Drosophila melanogaster: one gene and its partner. The protein of the gene in region 1 interacts with the protein of each later gene in a pairwise test. Each region holds a gene or a part of one and is shown on either strand. Other genes may lie near its edges. The genes, in order: CG8032 and GstT4.

Region 1 (10,134 bases):
GGGCTGCTTTAGCACGTATATCGATGAGGAATCGATAGATGCGGTCGGTGGAGGTAGAGCAGAGACTCCAACCTGGGCTCTCGGCGGCGGTTACTGGCAAAGACTCCGGCAAGGGCGTTGCCAGATCTATATCCTCGTCTCGCGGTCTATGAAATTCAAATTGAATTTTTTCACTTTTGCTTTTTCGGCGCGTCGATCCCTTCTAGGCTGTTGTTGTTTTTTGAATGGAAGAGAAATGAGGCTGGGCAGTTAAATTTTGTTTCTTAAAGGCCAAAAATGTTTGTGTTTATGTTTAGGAATAGTTGTTTATAAGGCGTCAGCCGCTGTACCCCATTTCGTTATTTGAAGCAAAAGTCAAAGAAATTCAAATTAAATTTGAAATTTAGTATATATATGTGATTGCCGTAAAATAGGTATTAAAAATTTCCAAACAATTCCATACTCAAGTTCCCTCCAAGTCTGTTAAAGAAAACTAAAATTCGAAGTTTCGAACTCTGGAATATATTCATTCACTTTCGTCTTCAGAATATACATATTGTGAATGTACATGTTTATATAGAATAAATGCTTTTGGTATTGGCCTTAGCTTGAGATTAGTTAGTGGAACAATAAATATGGCTATAAAGTATCGTATATATGTATATAATAATAATTTTCATATCGTTCAGCCCTTGAGCAGGCAGCGGGAGTAGAACTCCCGGTCGATAGCGTCGTTTGGAATGTATGAGCTCCACTTGAAGATCAGCGCCAGCGTGTCCCCGGCGGACATGTGATCCAGAGCGATGTTGAGGAAACAGTTCCAGTTGTAGAAGAAGTGGCGTCCCAACTGTTCCTGTTCCACGCCAGATATGCACTCGCAGTTGGCGCACACCAGTCGTCCGCCGCGTTGCAGTTCCACGAACTGTTCGAAGCAGCGGCCCCATGCGCTCACGCTCAGTTGTTTGCCCACGTCAGCCAGAAGTTCGGGGAGTCCGTAGTTGAGGACGATGGCCACCACTTTGGTGAGATTCTGTTCGGCTAGGTAAAATTTAGCTAAGACGTCTAATAGTGCCGGCACTGATTGAACAACATCAAAGCACTTCAGTTGCTCGCCACGGGACCAGAAGTATCGCAGGAGCACTGCTCCAAGCTCATGATACTGGCAGGAGGTATCGAAGCGAAGGGGGAACGAGCAATGCTCACACTTGACAATCTCCGCATTTTGCGAAGTATTTAGCAGCACAAATCCGGCAGCTATGTGATCCCGCGTAGCGTCGTCCACTTCCCAGATCATCTCCGGATCCAGGTAATCGAAATACATCTCGTAGCAATTGCGTTGCGCTTGGTCAGGCGTATCCCCATGCTCTACCATCACCTGGGCTAGTTTCTCGAGCAGATTCACCAGCTCGCCAGCTGCATACTCGTCGAAGACAGCGCGATAACGATCGACGCACTGCGTCCGGCTAAACTTGGCGCTCTTGGCGATCAGGTAGAGGTTGTAAAGAGTCTTCTCCTCGGGACTGATGTGGGGAACCTGGGGAGCCGGTTTCTTACAGCGCCTAACAATTTCCTCCTCCTGATCCTCGCTTCCCGACTCGTAGCGTGCTTTGATGTCCTTGAACGGCAGAGAACGCTCGCTGGCTGGAATTAGTTCCCTGACCAACTGCTGCTGTTCCTCGGCAAAAATATTGAACTTGTATTTTATGATGTTCTTGCCGAATTTACCAGTTACCGTCAGCAGCGCATCCTTGAAGTGTCCCGTTTTGAGAGGCTGCTTCAAGTTGTCGCAGAATGCGTTTTCCAGCACGTACACTCCCTTCGGCGGAGCTCTCGATGAACTTCCGCCGCTCAAACTGCGTTCAGTGGTGGCTGAACTGCCTCCCGAGCTGTGCGTATCCAAAGCACTGCCTGTGCACTGAGTTATGGCATCAAATATCACGGATATATCGTTCAACAGCTCGTACTCCTGCCGCTCGATGAGTAGTTGTTTCAGCGGATTGAGCTGTTTAAGTTCGTAATCCTCGCGAGCCTTGTCCGCAAAATATCGGACATGCTGGCGTAGTAGATTTGCGCAAGGCAGCAATTTGGATTGTTGTATAAGAGAAACTGCGTGGGATTGCAGCGTCTGCAGCTGGACACTATAAAGTGCGCCAGACTGCGTAAACACAAAGATCTCCGATCCCGAGGAGCGGCAGTCGGCGATTCTCTCGAACTGATTGGACCACAGCACCACCGCCGATCGTCGAATATCAAATATATATAGTCCCAGCTCTGTAAAGGCCAGCAGAAAGTCATCGTTCAACCTTTGTACCTTTGCGAACTGCAGATTCTGCGGCTGATAGTCCAGCAGCTCGGCATTGGCGTCCAGTTCGTCTGTTCCGCTACCAGGTCGCTGAATCCTTGCCGGTGCGGTGGCTAGGGCCGTCTTGAACTGGTGCGTCTGTATCACCTCGCCCTCAAAGTCCACCTCCCACACGCGACTGCCTGGTCGGGCGCAGTAGATACGAGATGGCTGCAAAGACTCCTGCGGCGAGACGAAAAAGCAGGCGCCAAAGGCTCCATCCCGCGGACGGTTACCAATCTGAAAAATATGACATGAGGTAAAAGTTTATCGATTGTATGTGATCAGATTGGCTTAGCCACCAGCGCACAAACGCACTTGTTTGTAATCCTCGTACTCAGTGTTGCACAGAATGCACTTGGTGCAATTGGACACCAGCAGCAGGTACTCAAAATCATCAATTTGGACGATCGGAGAGTCCAGGTAGAGCAGCGGATGCACTGTCATGTTGAACAGCAGACTGTGTCCGATGAACGAGGAGAGCAGCACGAGGCTGACTTGTCCGCGAGAGTCGCCATAGTAGAACTGCTTCTCGTCCTGCGTCCAGTGGATGCATGTAACCTGCACCGACTGGTCCAGGTGCGTAAAGATCACCTGCGGCGTGGCCTGCGCGGACAAATTCACGGCATAAACACAGATGAGCGAACGTTGCGTTGCAAAAGCCACATATTTGCTATTTGCCGATATGCTGAGGCTGGTGATCGCTCCATGCTTGTTTGGTATCAAGAGCAGAAACTTGCCGTTCCGATTGAACAGATACAGCGATCCGGATGAGGCACCGAAAATGATATAGCTGTCGGAGATGTCGAAGCAGGTGTACTGAAGGGAGGAAGGGCGTGCATTAGTGAATGGTCTGCTATCAAATTGCGGGTGAGACTCAATTGGATTGACTTGCTCTCACCTTGATGCGATTGTGGTGTTTCAGCGGCAGCGACAGCGACAGCGAAAAATCAATAAAGTTCGTCAGGCAGTAGGCGTCGGCCATCTTGTGGGCTTTTTCGTTGTCCGAAGCGTTCGTTAATCACATAGCTCGCTTTGAAATCGCGATTACGTTATTGCATTGCACATCGCATGCATTTATTTACAAAAATTATGTTTTTATCAGCGCGACGAGTAATTCGTGTACATAGGTCGTTGGAACTGTCTGGCAGCTCTGTTAGTGCTGGCAGGTGGTCGATAACAAGTGGAGTGTGATTAGAGCGATTACTTTTTATTTCAAATACTTTGTAATAAACTTGTTAGTGTCTTAATTAAAACAATTCAAATCTTCAATTTGAAATGTATATTAAAATCAAAAGTTTCATGAAATCACAGACGTTAAAGTATCGATACATTTAGTGCTGTAAAATGACAGCTGGCTTGTTTACCCTTATAAGCTTCAAGTCTGGCAATACTGCGACCAGCAGCTGTCGTAAAACTTATCCTTCAAACTTTCAATTAAAATACGTTTTTCTGAAAAAATCGCTTATCAAACTCCCATACATAAAAATAAAACTATTATTACACAATGTTTACTAAAAAAAATTGGATATTTACCACCCAGCCGAACAGCTGTTCGCTGCTACCTCCCCCAACCCATAAACCTACTGTCAAGTAAACGTCAAAACAGTCGCGCGACTCGCCAAGCGAAAAAACCTGCAGAAAAATTGAAATGCGGCGTGAAAGATACTAGAAAAATAACAAATAAACACCGGGTATCCGCAATTAAAACGCTTATGTACATAGAAGCCAAAGTGTAGCAATGGGCGACAAGGAGGAGCCCGTAACACCCGCTCCCTCGCCCACGGAGGAGGGTATGGCCAATATTGGGTCTGCTGGAGCCGGGGATCAGCCGCAAACTTCAGGGAATAATACCAACGTTAAGATCGTGATCATTGGAGCTGGAATGGCTGGCCTATCGGCTGCAAATCACCTTTTGCAAAACGGCTGTGACGATTTCCTTATTCTGGAGGCACGGGGCCGGGTGGGCGGACGCATTGTGTCCATACCGCTCAGCAATAATCAGAAGGTACCATTTGTTATATAACCCCCTCAAGTCCAAAAACCAAAACAAACCATCATAGGCGACCATATGGTATTAAAGGAAAAACACTTCCGACTCGGAAAAACCACGAGCATGTTGTAACACATTCTTCGCCCCAGCCAGTTGATTATAGATTTTTCCACGGACTGCGCAGTCGGTCAGCTGTTCACGCTTTTCATTAAAGCTATTTTTATACATGTTCCTGTTCCCTCTATTTGCCTATTGTTAGCTTTATTTGTTACATATGCTTACATGGGGGTAATTAATGTAATTGCATCTGTCGTGAATCTTACTCACGATTTTCATTCCGTTCATTAGCATAGTTTTGATCGGTTTGGCGGCACCTTATCAAGAAATTTGTTATACAACTTTCTTCGGCAACGTTTGTCAGATTAGATAGGGGTTTTCTGAATTAAGCCAATGATGACGTATCTAGTGCAATGCCCTGAAAAACTCACGGGTTTGCGGGCTAACGATCACGTAGTCTTAGTTATGGGACTGAAAAATTTATTATTTTTCCAGTTTTCCACATTGTTTCACTTCACATGTACTAATTACGCCCCTAAATTATCTAATATAGGTCAGTTCTTATCTTTTTTATACTAGAAAGTTAAATGTTAAGCTTTGCCTACTTATCTGAGATGTTCCTATTTAAACACTTCTATTTCACAGATAGAACTTGGCGCCAACTGGATACACGGCGTTCTGGGCAATCCCATCTTTGAGCTGGCCGTACAACATGGTCTAGTCAGCGTGGTCAACGTACCGAAACCGCACAAGGTGGTGGCCACCACGGAGGACGGGCACCAGGTGCCTTTTAACATACTTCAGGAGATCTACGAGGCGTACGTCTGCTTTCTGAGGCGGTGCGATGAGTATTTCCTGTGTCAGTACAGCCCGCCGCCGGATATACACAGCGTGGGAGAGCACATTAACTATGAGATCGAAATCTATCTGAGCGGGGTCCAGGATCCCAAGGAAAAACGCCTCAAGCAATCCATATTTAACTGCCTGCTCAAGCGAGAGACCTGCATTACCGGCTGCAACAACATGGACGAGGTGGATCTCCTCGAACTTGGTAAGGCTAAGCTAAAAATAAAGTATATACAATATGAATATATATTTTATTTTAGGCAGCTACACTGAGCTACAAGGAGGCAATATAGTGTTGCCAACTGGTTATAGCTCTATTCTGCGACCGCTGGGTGCTCAGATAGCCAAGCAGTCCATACTGACCAAATGCCCGGTGAAGAAAATCCACTGGAAGCGGAAAAAGACCTTCACTGGGCTGGAGACAGTCGACGAGAACTCGGAGGACGAGCATTCAGACGACTCTGAACGAACGGTGACGGAAGTGCCGACGGGGGAAATTCGTGGCGCCTCCGTGGAGTCCAACACCAGCAGCAATTGTGATTATCCTGCAGGCAACGTGCGCATAGATTGCGAGGACGGTCGAGTGTTCCATGCAGCCCATGTGATATGCACCATACCGCTAGGCGTACTGAAAAACACCCATCGCACTCTCTTCGATCCTGTGCTGCCGCAGTACAAACAGGAGTCCATCGAGAATCTCATGTTCGGCACCGTGGACAAGATCTTCTTGGAGTACGAGCGACCATTCCTCAGTGCCGATATATCAGAGATTATGCTATTGTGGGACGACGATAAGCGGGATATGAACAGCTCCGAGGAGGAGCTGGCCAGCGAAGCGTATCTCAGCAAGAATTGGTTCAAGAAGATATATTCGTTTGCCAAGGTGACGGACACGCTGCTCTTGGGCTGGGTCTCGGGCCGGGAGGCGGAGTACATGGAGAAGCTCGACCATGAGGCAGTGGCTGAAAAGTGTACGGAAATACTTAGGAACTTTCTGCAGGATCCTTACGTGCCCAAGCCAAAGCGATGTGTTTGGTAAGGCAAAGAAACATTATTTGGTTAAGAATGTTGTATATTAAAGAAAAATCTATTTGTAGTACCAGTTGGAAGTCGCAGGACTTCACCGGTGGCGCATACACCTCAATACCGGTGGGCGCAACTCAGGAGGACATCGAGAACCTCGCCCAGCCCCTCTATGCCACGCCCCAAGCCATGAAGGTCAGTTCTACAAGCTTGCTTCCCCGGCAATTGTTCACATTTTAATATATTTCCCCAGCCCGCCATAGTCTTTGCCGGAGAGCACACCCATTCCAGTTTCTACTCTACCGTACACGGCGCCTATTTGAGCGGACGGACGGCAGCGCAGCATTTGCTGGCGAGCGATGAGCCAGACGAAATCATCATGGAGTCGGACGGCAGTGATCTGAGCGCCTGGATACAGGGCATTGCCCTGGACTGAGTCTAAGCTAATCAACGACCACTCATCGATTTTGTATTATAATTTATTAACGTTATTTTGTACACTCTTTAAACGCTTTTTAGCTAGTGATATTTAATTTGTTCGATTGTAATTTATTTTGCTAGCGTCGTAAAACGATTTAACTCATTTTTGTACATCCCTTGTGAGCATTTGTTTTATTTTGTTGATGCAATTATTTTGTAATTTATTTGGAACCCGCTTGTACATTACTATAAATAAAAGTTACGAATTAGCTGAGCTGATCAATGTGCTGCCAACTCGAACAGACCGTGCACCCGCAGCAGCTTTCACTGTACTTGGACGAAAAAGTGTGCACAAAGACATAATGTTGTTTAGACCTAATTACCGATTAGCAACCATAAGTGTATGAATACAAATATATTGCCTATTTTTATAAATTCGTATTTAACGTAGAAAAGGTTGCACCAAAAGGTTGACACTAAGACGATCGAACAATGAGTGCAACTAATGTATATTTGAAAGTAACTATTGTTAACGTTAACTATTTTGCTAACTAAATTATGCATTGGTTGACTCTTTAAGGCGGAAAAGGAAAAGTTGGTATTCATAAGTCCGTTCTAACACTTGGATCTGCATATTTATTTGTATTTGTGACAAAAATATCGACTTGTACGCATAAATAAATAAATTAAATAAATAAATTATTGAATGAAAATGTATAATTTTAAATAGTAAAACACAAGTCGAAGAAAGTTTTGATTTTTTAACGATGGGGAGAGATCTGTATTATAAAAATCAAGTTGTGCTTTTGGTTTTAGGCCAACAAAAGTCTATAATTCAAAACATATGTAGATATCCTAAATTATTTGAAAGTCTTTCGCATTGCACTCGTAAATTTTTTGTGGATACATTTACTCGAACTTAGCTAAGGTGTGGTAAAAAAGCTAATAAGGATAAGGTAGGTGGAAATGAAAAGGATTGACTAAGCTGAATTCAAGAATGCATTAAAAATGGCTTGTAAAAAATTCGACAAAAAATCCTTCGAGCCGGATTTGAACCAGCGACCTATGGATTTCTATTGCATGTTTTCCAACTACAGTCCACCGCTCTACCAACTGAGCTATCGAAGGGGGCGTGCTGGGGAGTAGGTTAAACAACGGGTATCCGATTCATCGCGACTCTTCAATAAACTTTTGTTGGTAATCGGTTTAATTAATGCGTATTTTAGCTTTTAATGGATTGAGGTCACGGACAGCATATGCCATGTCGTTCAAATACCTTTTCTTTTGATTGTTGCTAAGCTAAAATTAAATAATATATTGATGTACGCGTAAAGTAAGACATGTTCATTTTCACGTGTTTTTAAAATTGATATTCTTCAAATTATTATTCATTTTATATAACATTGTGTTTATAAAATGTCTTTTGCATCTACATGTTTATAATTGCATACTATTTTATATATTTTTTATGGGGTACGGGTGCTACTATAAAAACAAAAACGAATTGGATATTACAAAAAATTACAAAAAATCCTTCGAGCCGGATTTGAACCAGCGACCTATGGATTTCTATTGCATAATTTTCCAACTACAGTCCACCGCTCTACCAACTGAGCTATCGAAGGTTGAGTTCAAACTTGGCCGTTGTTCGTTTTATGCATGCGCACAAACGAAATGCACCGTATTTGGTTATTTATTTTTGATTTTTACTTATTTAGGTCAAACAAAATTGATCAACTTTCTCTATTCAGTCCATTGCAGTAAGCCTATAGTTTCCAAGCCTAATAGCCTAGGCGCTTTTCACAAACTATATCAATTTAGTTACGGTTTATTTCTTCCAAATAAAATCCTTCTTATATTATTTAGTTTAAACAGCTCAGTTATATTCTGAATGTCTGTAGATGAATTAAATTGATTTAAATTGTGCACTACAAAATATATAAAAAAAAAGGTATGTGCACTACAAAATATATAAAAAAAAGGTATTTATATCTTTTCGATCCTTCGAGCCGGATTTGAACCAGCGACCTATGGATTTCTATTGCATGTTTTTCCAACTACAGTCCACCGCTCTACCAACTGAGCTATCGAAGGTTAAATTCGCTTGCGGCTAATTCACCTTTTGTTCAGGAGCGAGGTGGGGAAAGTGACAAAAAGAGAGGGCACTTCTCTTAAACACCGCTGCTCTTTAATACTCGCGGCCAGAAAAATAGGACCTTAAATTCTTGTAAACTTATATTAAATACTAAAGCATTGTAAATCTTAATGAGAAAATATTCAGGTACAACTGTTCATGGCTTAATTTTAGACCAAAATTGTGCATGAATTTAGAAAGGCAGCAATGCACTATTTGAAACTAACTAGTTACCCACCCACAGCTGTGCACCGATAAAGGGGTGGTGTGCGAGCAAAGATGCCATATTTATACATATATCCATCTCGTTCCAGCGCCGACGATAGACGATACCGATACTTTGCGAGTCCGCTCCCAAGATTGAGCCCCCACAGCGTAAAAGCGACCGAAGTGCCGGCGACGAGAGCAGTTCGTTCCCAGAAGCCGGCAGCAGTGGTCCGTTGATAACTCCGACTCGAGCTACTTATCCACCACGTCGATACTCTTGTCTGTCTATTGCAAACATAGAGGAGTCACCCTTTGGCTAACGAATCCGAAACTCCCGAGTTTTGTTGTGCAACATATCAAAAACCGCATTTGTTCGGATCCAATTTACATTCGCATTTCAAAGATGTCGTACCACAAGCCCGAAGCTAAGACCGTCCAGGATCTGAAAGATCTGGCCCAGAAACTGCGAATTCACTCTATCAACGCCACCCAGGCCTCCAAATCGGGGTAAGTTTATCAATAACTGAAAGTCCATAGGCATATTAAAGTGTGCGTATTTAGATTTGTTTGTGTAGATGTGAATTTTAAAAGTTGTGCACCTTGCACTTGTTGCTTCAAAGGTGACCCCCTCCATTTCCAGGGTGGGTGCGAAAAAGTTTTTGAGGGGGCTGCTAAATACATACATACATATGTATGTGTTTTGAAACATTACAAAAGAAAATAAAACAAAAATAGTTACGCATATACATAGTTATGCATCTATGTTTGTATGAATGTGAGAAGTAAAATATGGGAAGACCGGTTCCTTTAGTGACCCCTCCTGGGATTCAGTTGCCAACCCACGTGTTGTCCAGTAGCTTTAGTGAATTTGCGAATTTGTTGCCCTGCCTGCGTGCTCAGTGATAAGCCGCGTTCACCTACCTTAAATTGTGAGCTAATATTTTTTGACCTTAGACAACCTTGAAACGTTAGGTTTTTCTTACTGCCTTTTAATTTCTTTTGCTTTTGTTTTGTGCGTGGCGTTCAAAACGCCGAAAGCACATACATATGTACATGGGGTAAAAACAAACATACTTACATATCAAACAGAGGCATTTAATATACGTATGTACATATGTACATACAAGTGTTGGA
Region 2 (11,410 bases), on another chromosome or scaffold:
TCTAATCCTGCCCGGTATCACCCGCGACTCCATCCTGCGCATGACCCGCCAGTGGGGCAAGTTTAAGGTTAGCGAGGCGAACATCACCATGCCCATGGTCTGTGAGCTCCTCAACCAGGGAAGGGTAAGTAATCTAACAGAGCATTTCCCCCTCGAACGAAACTCATGCGACACTTACTTCTCTTGCAACAGCTGCTGGAGCTCTTTGGTGCGGGAACGGCGTGCGTGGTTAGCCCCGTGAACAGGATCAGCTACCTTGGCCAGGATCTGTATATACCCACCATGGAGCAGGAGAAGCCCGTTCACGAGCTGATCCGCGAAACGCTCACCGACATTCAGTACGGTCGGGTGGATCATCCGTGGGCGGTGGTGATCGACTAAGTCGATCTCCCAGCCGATCCCAGCCAGAAAGCATCCAACCCCAGAGCTGTTACCCTTTCCCGTTACCTTACCGCATCCCTTTCCCGTACCGTGTATTAGTAGGATTTAGTGCCAAGTGTTTTGTGGGTCGCCAATGTGCTCGAATTTGTTTCGTTTATTGTGCATGTGTCTATATGCTTGCATATATCGGATATGTACAATATATATATATATATATATATTATATAATATAGTAGGATATAAGTCGAGGGCCGATTCGTTAAGTTGCATTTAAATGTATATTTATTTATTTATGTCAGGAATTCGAATTGTACATAATTCCAACTGGTTCAATGTTATTTATAGTTTCCCTAATTATTTTCATATTTTTAGTTGTGCGCCTTTAGATATATATATATATATTTTTTTTTTTTTTACTTTATCTAAAGCTATGAATCGTCTTTTTGCGCTTTTACTTCCAAGCAGCATCGAAAGCAAGGTAAAATTACCAACTACAAATTTTAGGACTAGTATAAAGAGATCGAGAATTCCCCCATCCAAGTGACGGGAATTAATTGAAAACGTACCGGAGGCGAAATGCATTTATTAGTGAGTAAGTGATCGAAGCGTTCTTGGAGGTAAAAGCGGCACGAGAGGCACGAGGGCAGCAGCCGAGCTGAGCTGTGACTAAAGCTAATCTGAACCTGAACCCGTCAGTAGAACCTAGGCCTAGGCTGTAGATACTAAACCCGAATCAAGCTGTATACTATATCTGTAACACCTAGTTGATAAGCGAACCAAGCGATGAATAAACGATGACAAAAATCAAGAACTTATGCTCACAACGATTTGGCTGCAAATGGTTATTATTCGTACACTTTTATTGATAAGTATACGATATTTTCAACCTTATACAGTTTGAATATGTTTGCATTTTTCATTTAAACTAAAGAAAAACAATCAGTATCCTATATTTGGCTAAGTTACATTATGAAATTTAAAGTTCGACACCTCAACAGAATTGTAAGCGCCATCTATCGGTTGGTAGCGGACGGGGGAGGGCAACTCATTAAATAGTCAGCACAAAAGTATGCTAAAATATATCACAGAGTTGCAGGATATCGAATTATGTTTTACCAGTTGAATCACCACCCTCATGACCTCCCTAACCTGGTTTTGACCTAGAAAGTCTTAGTTTTAAAATTCATTAGAATAATCAAATAAATAATAATTACTATGTTATATCAACTATTATAATTCTCCCTATCATTTTTAGGATTAAAAATCTGTTAGTCTTAAGTAACCAAGACACATTGTAAAATAAAATAATTTAAGCAGATCAAATTAAGTTGCCGCATGGGTAACAGTGCGTTGATCAAATAATAAAAACATCATCATGAATAAAAAAAAAAAAAAAAAAAAAAAAAAAAAAAAACCAGTTGAATGTATTTAAACTATATTTATAAATATTTTTTGAGTTAAATGGCTTTCGTTCTACAGTTCAGCTTTTCAGGAATACCATGCAGTCCATAAATAATACATAAATTTTAAGAATTTTTATGGCATTGGCCATGAGACGTTAATTATTTGCTTGAGTGTAAACAAATTCGAAATTACTTTAAATTACTTTAAATGATTCGTAAATGGGTGGTATTCTCGAATTTTTTTTTTATAATGCAACTTAAATAAAGCATTTGTTCTAAGACCCGTTCTGCTTGTATTTTGAAAATCATTGGAAGGAACTTTGAAATGAAATGAGCGCAGTCATTTGAATTGAAGATTATTTAATACAGTCTACTGCTTATTGTCGTTCTTCGTAGCCTTCTTAATCAGATCCAGAGAAATTCAATGGAGCAATCGGCTCTAGCTCCGTCTGGTTGTTGACCAGTGAATCATCGGAGTTAAGGGACAACAAATCGAGTTCAGTCAAGTCCTGTGCCTCCAGTTCATCATCGTCACTTTCCAGATCTATGCGTTGCTGGTAACCGCCGATCAATGTAGACATATGTTCACCACTATCGTTTTTCCTGCCATAGCCGAACTTGCTAAACTTGCCAATCTTCTTTTCGCGCAATTGCTTGGGCGTCAGGACGACCGGCTTCCAGGTGAGATCCAGAATGGACTTATGGCCCACATCCTCCAGTATGCTCTGATTGGACAGCTCGCGACCCTTGTAGGACAGCCGACTGAAGCCCATGGGCACGGACATGGCTCGCCCGATCCGTGCCTTCAGGTTGGCCACCGTTCCGAAGCGATCCACATCGTAAACCGTCTTCTTGCCGTCGCTCGTCTGAACTAGAACTTGCATCTTACGCATCCTAATCCAGATATATATATATATATATATGTATCTGGCACGTCGAACTGCAACTTTTTTCGTTTTATACACAAGCTCTAAGTTTTGCTTCGTTCGGATAAAAGTTTGCTCTTGGAATCCCCTATCAAACTGTCGTCGTCATGCGAATGCTAGTGCGAGTTAAATTTAATGGCATCCTTGATTACCTTATTTGATTTCCTTTGTCGATTCTCCAATCGAATTTCATAAGGAGCAATTGGCAACCCTGAAGTTGATATATTCGGCTATTCCAATTTAATAAAAATTCATTTTCGCGCTTTAACCCACAACAGTTGCATATTCTTTGAATAGTCACTATTTTTGATTTCGACGTGAAAGTAAAATATTTTCAATCAATACAGGTAGAGAAAACTCATAAGAGCGGGGCTCCACTGCCCAGCGGCCACGTGGCCTCCAAGGACCAGAACGTGAATACATTGAGCAAATCGATCCTTGGCGAGGTACTAAGAAAAGCCTTTAATGTGAAGGCGTGACCCGTTCAGCGCGGTTTGCTCTCCTCCGCGATTCATATGAACCTCTGACGAATTCGATGCCATAATTTTCAGCTGCCAAGGTCGTCTTTCAAAAATAAATATAAAAAATTAAATGTTTCCAACTTTTTAAGTTAGTAAGTTAAATAATTAGCAATAGAAATTAACTATTTTTTATAGGATAATCATAGCGAAATTTCTGAAAATGCACGAAATGAACAGCTGATCAAAAGTGAAGTGTAGTGCACTCTATTGAGCCATTATCGTGGCAAGTATCTTTGTGCCAACTGTTGTGCCACCTTGTACGGACAGCGTACACTTGTGACAGCGAATGCATCTTAGAGATACAGATACATCCGAAGACAAGGCACTTTGGCTGGCACTTCGGCCCAGTTTTATCAGCTCAACAGTTGAACAAAAACAATTCGCTGACCGATATGGAAGGTATAGTTGTGTTTCTTGTTCTTGTTGGTATTTTCTGTTATTGGCCCCGTTTTTGGTAAACAAGATAACACCGCACATCGTAGATTCGTTTAGTGGGGTGCTGTGGGGCTTGGGATCGCTGGGATCCTCAAAACACTTATTAATACTAAGCATTTTCTGATTGGAAATCGTCGCCAGATAACGCACGAATATATCAAAGCTAGTCCAGTACAAAGGCGAAAGAGCCGAATACCGAGTCAAAAAGAAACCAGCAAAACAAAAACAAGAAAAGCCGCAGCAGCAACAAAATACTAAAAGCAAAACAAACAGCGATAAAATCGAACAGCTAGGCACACTTGAAATACCCTATCGAAAATTGGGAAAGCCCTAACACATGGATTTAAGCCAAGTGTTCGTTAAGCCCTGAGTAAATGCATCGAGTTTAATAGCGGCAAGGGAAGCTATATGGACTCTATATGACTTTATGGTTAAAATATAAGCTGCTTGTAACTATCGCATTTATGTAAGTTTTAGTATGAATTTTGGTATACGGCCAAGAAAATGAGTAATAAAACCTGGTACCAATTTTCACCACCATCCGATTGGTAATACCCGAGTTACGATAGGTAAGTTTTGCATATCCCGCTCTCTTTTCGCTGTGGGCCACACCCTCTTTTCAAAGGGGCATGCAGTCGCAATGTCTCGATCTCAGCGAAAGGGTAGCGCCAGTGTCAGCAGAGGCGGAGCAGAGGAGCAGCAGTGGGGGCACCATATACAATGTACATATGCACAAGAAGCCGGTCTTTTTTGTCTCTGTTTTTGTTTTTGTGTTCGCTTTGTTTTTTTCTCTTTTTTTTTTTTTTTTTTGTTAGCATCTTGTTGTGATCGCAACGCTGCTCCGCTGGCTTGTTTTTGCGGCGCATTTAATGAATGCGCCCCGTTCACCCCTCCCCTAATACTTCACACACACCACACACCGTACACCAAACGCCATACACCATACACCATACACCACACACCACCTCACCCCACCCACCAGTTTGCTGCGCAGTCGGCGTCGACGCAGCGGCATTGCGTTTAAAATGTCGCAGCGACGGCGCTGCGGAGCTCAGTCTAGCAGCAAAAGTCCAGCGATACGGTTCCAAAGCGATCTGATCTCAGTTTCGATTTGAATCCCCCGATCTGGAATTTCGAATTTTGGATTGTACTGCAGTGCATTGAAGTGCCTACACAACTTTTTTTTTCGCACCCACTCTAGTCACTTGGAGAGAGCACACTGTATATAGTTGGAATATATATATATTAGTATATATCAACGAGATGTCGCAGCCACTCAAGTTCTACTTCGATTTCCTGAACCAATCGAGCCGGGCGCTCTACATCCTCCTGGAGGCCTCCAAGATCCCCTTCGAGGCCATACCCATATCGATGCTCAAAGGTGAGTAGTACTCGCTGTTAAGAAGGGAGTGGTGGTGGGCAGGGAGTACGTGAGCGGTGGCACACACAGCCACATCTATAAGACCAGCCACATCTATAAGGGCCCAAAGGTCGAACCAACCGACCAACCGACCAACCGACCAACCGACCGACCGACGAACACATTCCTATGCATTTATGCTGCCCTTTGTTTTCGATATTTTTCGAGTCGGCGAGTGAGTTTCCAAATAAATTTTCCGCTCGTTAAAAATTCCACAATCCAAACGAAAAGTTTCCAAGGCGAAAGCGGGCAGACGTCGTTTTTGAAATAGTGTCACTCCATTCGAAAACAATTGAGGAACTGTGGAACATGGCGAGATTAGACGAACATATGTATTGTACATACATATGTACATATGAGTTCAATGCAAACGTGATTGTTCTCAAAAATAATTTCTTAGCAAATGATAGATAAGATTAAAAGGAATCCCGAAACGAACGTGAGGATTCCTTAGAAAGTGTGTGCAAAATAATTATATTTTTTTTTTTTGCAGAAGTGTTCGAGCATTATTGAGCAGTCGCACTTTGAACGTGTTTACAGATAATCTTAGCCTTTGGGGGCATCCAAAAAAAAAAAAGAAAACCGGCTAATTGCCTTCTATTCACGCTTTTATCGCAGGGCAAACAAACTACAAACTCAAATATGGGTTTCAAAAATATACAATATATGTACATACTATATATTATTCTTGATTCAATAGTATAGATTCAGTACTGTACCTTAAATTCGCAGTGCACTTTGCTCGTGTTTACTCCGCACGAGAATTTAGAAACCGATCTTTGCGCTGGTTTTATCACCTGCTCGCCAAACTGGGACACTTATCAAATTTTCGATGAGATCCAGCGTTTTGTTAGCCACTTTGTTATTTCCATTACCATTCGCTTGAGTTTTGTTTTCCTTCATCATTTGTTGGATGTGGTTTTACTATTTGCCAAGCTGCGCGTGCGCTTAGCACTTTTCGATGATTCGCATATGGTATCAATTTAGGAATGGAGCTAAGGTAAGGAGGGTCTTCACACCTCGTCTTGGTCGTTCTCCACTTGGTCAAGGTTGGCGGAAATGCCATAAAGTGCAGAATTGATGCGAGGATGCAATCAGCGGCCACATTAACGGCTGCATATATAATTGCGATATGTGGATAATGTCGTCTCGCGTTGACGTCAACGCTTTGGCATCGCGTAAGTTGATAGCCACATAAATAGGTATATACTGGGATATCAACTACTATGCTAATCCCAAGGAGAGCTCCCCCAACTCCTCGATACAATGTTCGATTCCCAGACAGGCCTGCCTTTTTTGTTTTTGTTTTTTCTTTTCTTTTTCTATATATGTACAATATATTGGTTGGTGCTGGCACTTGGACTTTGCACTCCGGTGAGCCAGTTAGTTCGCTTAGAAATCAGAGTCGTCGCTGCACGCGAGTGGAGGCAACAAGACAACCTTGTGGAGGTTAAAGACTCCGAGGCGGGGGCAAGCACTTTCAGTAGTTTCAGCACACATGCACACACATTCATAGAGTGGAGCTAGCTGCACTAGCTTCACTAGCACTGGTGCTCGGCTCACCCGGTTTTTTATGCCGGTCCGAGCATGACGCAAGGAATCTAATCTGGCGGGGAGTTTACGAGCTTCACTGCAATTCGGATCAAGTGGAAATCGAATAGAGCTCTCGATTGGGCTATTAACATCATAAACAATGATATTTTCCAACCCAATTCGGTATGCCCTTCAGATTGTTATCTACGAGTGGGCCTACCGATTTGCCAAGCAATCTGTGGTCTTCAAGCTGAGTTCCCAGAGGTCATATAAGGTTATGGGTATGCAGGTTGTATACCTTTCTAAAAGTAACCGTAACGATTTTGACTGCACTCCATGGGCTCAGATACAAGATACTAGAGTCCCTAGAGATCGGAGCAGGTTAGACGGGTTAGTTGCTCGATGGGAATATGAAACGAAGAGAATATTATACTATATACGCTGATATTGGAATTTACAAAGATTATAGTTTATGAATAACGATGGGTAATAAGCTACCAGAGATAAGAGCAGCTCTTTTAATTAGCTCCTGGCCATATAGATTAATTGACTGTCACAATGCAACTGCGATAATGACCCTCACGAGCTTCCGGCTGCCCTTTCTATTGCGATCCCTGGGTCAGCTACCAACCATCAACTCAGATCTTGATCAGCCAGTCAATCACGAATCTCTCACGAATCGCCCTTTGCCTGGATGGAGGCCAGCATATGGTGGCTTTAATTTTCCAAATGGCAGCAATTATAAAATTGAAAAATTGCCGCCGCCAATTCCCAATCTAATCAGCTGATGTCGGGAATCACAGTTTGCCACTAACTGCCGCTGCTGACTAATCAATTAGCTTTCCACAAGCCACATTTGCCCAGTTAATTTCTTTGCTATATTCACACCAGAAATCATGATGTGTATTTGTGCTCACCCATCCAGATGGCAAATACTTAAACCAGAACGGGTATTTTTAGAGCCGGAGGCCTCGCAAGTGCCGCACGATTTGTCACTCCTCCGCGGAACGAACCCCTTTTCTATATGACACCACTGACTGCCCTCACGCCCACGATGACCTTGGTGGGCAGGAAAAAACAACAGAAGCAGAAACCTAAACAGAAACTAAATGGCTCCAAACAGGCGACATTGACAATGACTTTGACTTTCGCCGGCCAGACACGCCCCTCTTTTGAGGGCATTAAGTTCCACATTTTCAATTCCAATTGCGATTCCCGATTTCAGTTCCCTTATCGTTCCTTATCAGGTTTCTCGAATTCGGGCCGTGATTCGGCGGGGCACCTGTTGCTGTGTAGCAATATCTCGTTGGGATCAGGCGATCGGAAGACCAAAACACGCAACTTAAAAGTTAAAAATAAAAACAGCTTTTTAATTAGGGAAGAAATTGGTGTTTGTTTACAGATATGCGCATTGTAGATACATGCATATATATGACAGCTTTAATAAATTAAAAAATATATATAGATATTACCTAATATAAAAGGCTGTCTCTTTCAATTTATAATGGTATATTAATGTGCTAATTATATGTGATTGGTTCACTACTAAGCTTATAAACAAGGTCATCTGGAAATTGTTGAAGTTAATAGAAACCCTCTCCTTTTCCTTTCCCTTGATTTCCCGATTCCAGGCGAGCACCTGACTGGCGAGTTCCGGGACAATGTGAACCGGTTCCGCAAGCTGCCGGCGATCACGGATCACGGCTACCAGCTGTCCGAGAATGTGGCCATCTTCCGGCATCTGGCACGCGAAAAGTTGGTGCCGGAGCACTGGTATCCGCGACGACATCTCGGCCGTAGTCGCATCGATGAGTACCTGGCCTGGCAGCAGACCAACATGGGTGTGGCCACCACGGAGTATTTCCAGCAAAAGTGGCTGGTGCCGTATCTGCAAAAGACCCGGCCAGCCGATAATGCGGTAGGTGGCGGCACCTCATCCCTCATCCCTCATGCTGTGCTCCAATGCCCAAAACTAATCGCTGTCCATGGTTATTTACAGGTGAATCTCGCCAGCAAGCAGCTGGAGCACACGCTCAACGAGTTCGAACAGCTATTCCTCAACTCCCGCAAGTTCATGATGGGCGACAACATTTCGTATGCGGATCTCAGCGCCATCTGCGAAATCGATCAGCCGAGTGAGTAGAAGAATACAAGAAATCCATTGGCGCACCTGATACTAATGCCTTGGCATATGCCTGCTTCGCAGAATCCATTGGCTACAATGCGTTCCAGAATCGCAACAAGCTGGCGCGTTGGTATGAAACGGTGCGCGAGGAGCTGGGTCCCCACTACAAGGAGGTGCTGGGCGAGTTCGAGGCCAAGCTGAAGGGCAGTGGCAGTGGTCAGCAGCAGGGCGTCGCCCAGGCGGTGAAGCAATAGCTAGGACCGTCCGCCGCCAATATTGTTTAGTTCCCTAAGGCAATCGACTATTTAACCAGATTATTTTTTTTTTTTTTGCGCTACAACTATTGCATTTTTGTGATTATACTTGCTCTTCCTATCCAATAAGTCTTAGCCTTTCCATCACACTTGTTTTAACAATACCATTTGTGTCACGTAATGCTCATCTGTTTAAACGTACGAGAAAAACTTATAATCTTATATATAAACTTAGTTGTTAATTATGTATTTTAATTATTCGTATATAAAGTACGCTTATGTTTGTTTAAATATCGACTTTTTTTCGCGAACATAGAACAGAAAGATGCCATACATTTACATTTACGCTTTATTCGACTCGATTAACATTTGTGTTGGGGGGTGGATTCGCTCTGGGAGCGGTGCTCGCGGTTGTGCGGAATACTAGGGGTGTGTCTGCACCATACGTCTATATATGAGGTGTACAAAATAGGATCTGCCTGGTCATATCACAATTGAAATTTGTATACACAGATTGAGAAATGCTTGCTGCCCATGCACAAGAGAACTTTCACTTCGCCGCTTTACTTCATCGTCGGATCGGGGAATGCATCGCGCGGCGGCTTGAAGCTCAGCATCATGATGTGTCGCGCATACGACTTGGTGGCCCGGAAAAGGGAATCGGTGCCATGGAGGCGATCCAAGACGCCCAGCACGCCGAAACAGTTGTTGAATCTGTCGGTTGGCAAGGAAAACAGCATATTAGCCTAGTTTATATCACTAGTTGCCAATCAATTACTTTAAATGGTGAAAATCATGCGCCTCGGGACTGGGAAAGAACGGCAGATGATAGCCGGAGTGGGCGTTGAGTGTTGAAAGGATGGCCAGGGCGAACCACAGCCACGCGGTGGCCACATGGCTGCCCATGAGAAAGACGCCCAGGAAGGGCGGCAACAGGTTGCTAAAGATGTGCTCAATGGGATGGCAATAGATGGCCGTCACCGAGATGGGGGCCGTCCACTCATGATGCTGCTTATGGATGTACTTGTAGATGTGCTTGTGGTGCAGCAGACGGTGCGAATAGTAGAATCCCAGCTCCTCCATCAGGATGCACACGGTCAGCTCAAAGCAGACCCAGTGGAATGTGGGCAGGTCACGAATGTCGCTCAGTCCACGGATCTCCATTAGTCGATAGCTGGCATAGGCCAATGGTATGCCCACGAATATCTGGTTGCAGACCACGCACCAGATCACCTGGAATTCGGAGGGGTCAGACAGTGGGATCAATTGAATATAAATTTCTCGATCGATCGATCGATTGCATTACCTTTAGCAGACGACGAACCTCCACGGGCTCATTGGTGCCCGGCTGGATCTTGTACTTGCGCAGACAGGCGGGCCGATTGGTCAGGTCCATGAAGGTGTACAGTGTGCCCACGGTCCAGTAGACGAGCATCGTGAATATGGTGGTACCGAAGACCCAAAGAACCATGGGCTCGTCGCCTGGAAGATTTGTTTATTTCAAATTGAATTAATAGCTGGCGATAAAAGAGTCTATAAGTGATGCCTTAAAGTATGCAAAGTTATAATTGGAATCCAAAATTTAAATAGATGCATAGTGAATTGATTCATATGAGAATGGATGTTATTAAATCTATAAATGTATAAAGAAATATCCAAGCAACAGCTGGATATAAATCATATGTAGACCGTAAAAAAAAGCAGGCAAATAAACCCATAAAGATAAGTGGCTTAAGTAAAGTTCTTAACGCAATGAATCGTGTGAATTGTAAATTGTAAACGCTGTAAGGAAAATGCAATAAAACGGGCCTATGAACCCTGTTTACTCAGCTTCTGACTTTGAGCTTAAGCAAAATCGGTTAACCGATGAGCCCGGAACATTGAGCCCATTGTGCAATGCGTGAATTAACGTATTTACTCTGGCCAAACAGAGTTATGGTTAAATAATAAGTGTGGCTAACCCGATTGGGGTGTGTGAGTACTAAACATTTGTTTGCTGAAGAATTCAAATTTGCGTGAGTAACGCGGCGATTCATTTCGCCTAATTGGCAGCACTTCTGGTTGCATTTGTATCTGTATCTCTTGCATGTGTCTCTTTGTATCTTTGTGCCCGTATCTCTGTGTCTGTGCGATGGAATTAGTAAACAAAACAGTTGTTGTTGACATTTTGCTGTGTCGCCCAGTGGCTGAGAGTTGCAATTTGCACAGTATCGCCCATGTACACAATGTACACAAAGAGAGGAGCAAAGTTTACCTGTCAACTTATCCATTCTTTTACCCTTTGTTTTGGATATGATACTTGTTAGATTCACTTACCGAACGAGTCGATGAATTTGTCCCACTGCGACTGCCAGAAATCACCGGAGGCTCCCCAAAAGCTCTGCAGATGCCTGGCATAGATATAAGAAACCT

What was found.
Region 2: the proteins of CG8032 (region 1) and GstT4 interact in a two-hybrid assay, tested with the Drosophila melanogaster proteins (one large-scale study listed by BioGRID).

Annotation. Positions count from the first base shown.
Region 1 is NT_033777.3:8,660,422-8,670,555, forward strand, and holds CG8032 (uncharacterized protein), read left to right. Parts: upstream 1-3,693; 5' UTR 3,694-4,061; coding exon 4,062-4,328; intron 4,329-4,640; exon of another isoform or gene 4,641-4,911; intron 4,912-5,015; coding exon 5,016-5,421; intron 5,422-5,476; coding exon 5,477-6,251; intron 6,252-6,313; coding exon 6,314-6,434; intron 6,435-6,492; coding exon 6,493-6,675; 3' UTR 6,676-7,351; downstream 7,352-10,134. Other genes in the region: p (pink), read right to left, coding at 665-2,560, 2,639-3,139, 3,222-3,305; CG8036 (uncharacterized protein), read left to right, coding at 9,404-9,507.
Region 2 is NC_004354.4:13,400,038-13,411,447, forward strand, and holds GstT4 (glutathione S transferase T4), read left to right. Parts: upstream 1-4,711; 5' UTR 4,712-4,929; coding exon 4,930-5,047; intron 5,048-8,250; coding exon 8,251-8,537; intron 8,538-8,618; coding exon 8,619-8,754; intron 8,755-8,825; coding exon 8,826-8,998; 3' UTR 8,999-9,286; downstream 9,287-11,410. Other genes in the region: Bcat (branched chain amino acid transaminase), read left to right, coding at 1-124, 193-381; CG12725 (uncharacterized protein), read right to left, coding at 2,186-2,677; CG1998 (uncharacterized protein), read right to left, coding at 9,562-9,712, 9,777-10,231, 10,305-10,480, 11,315-11,388.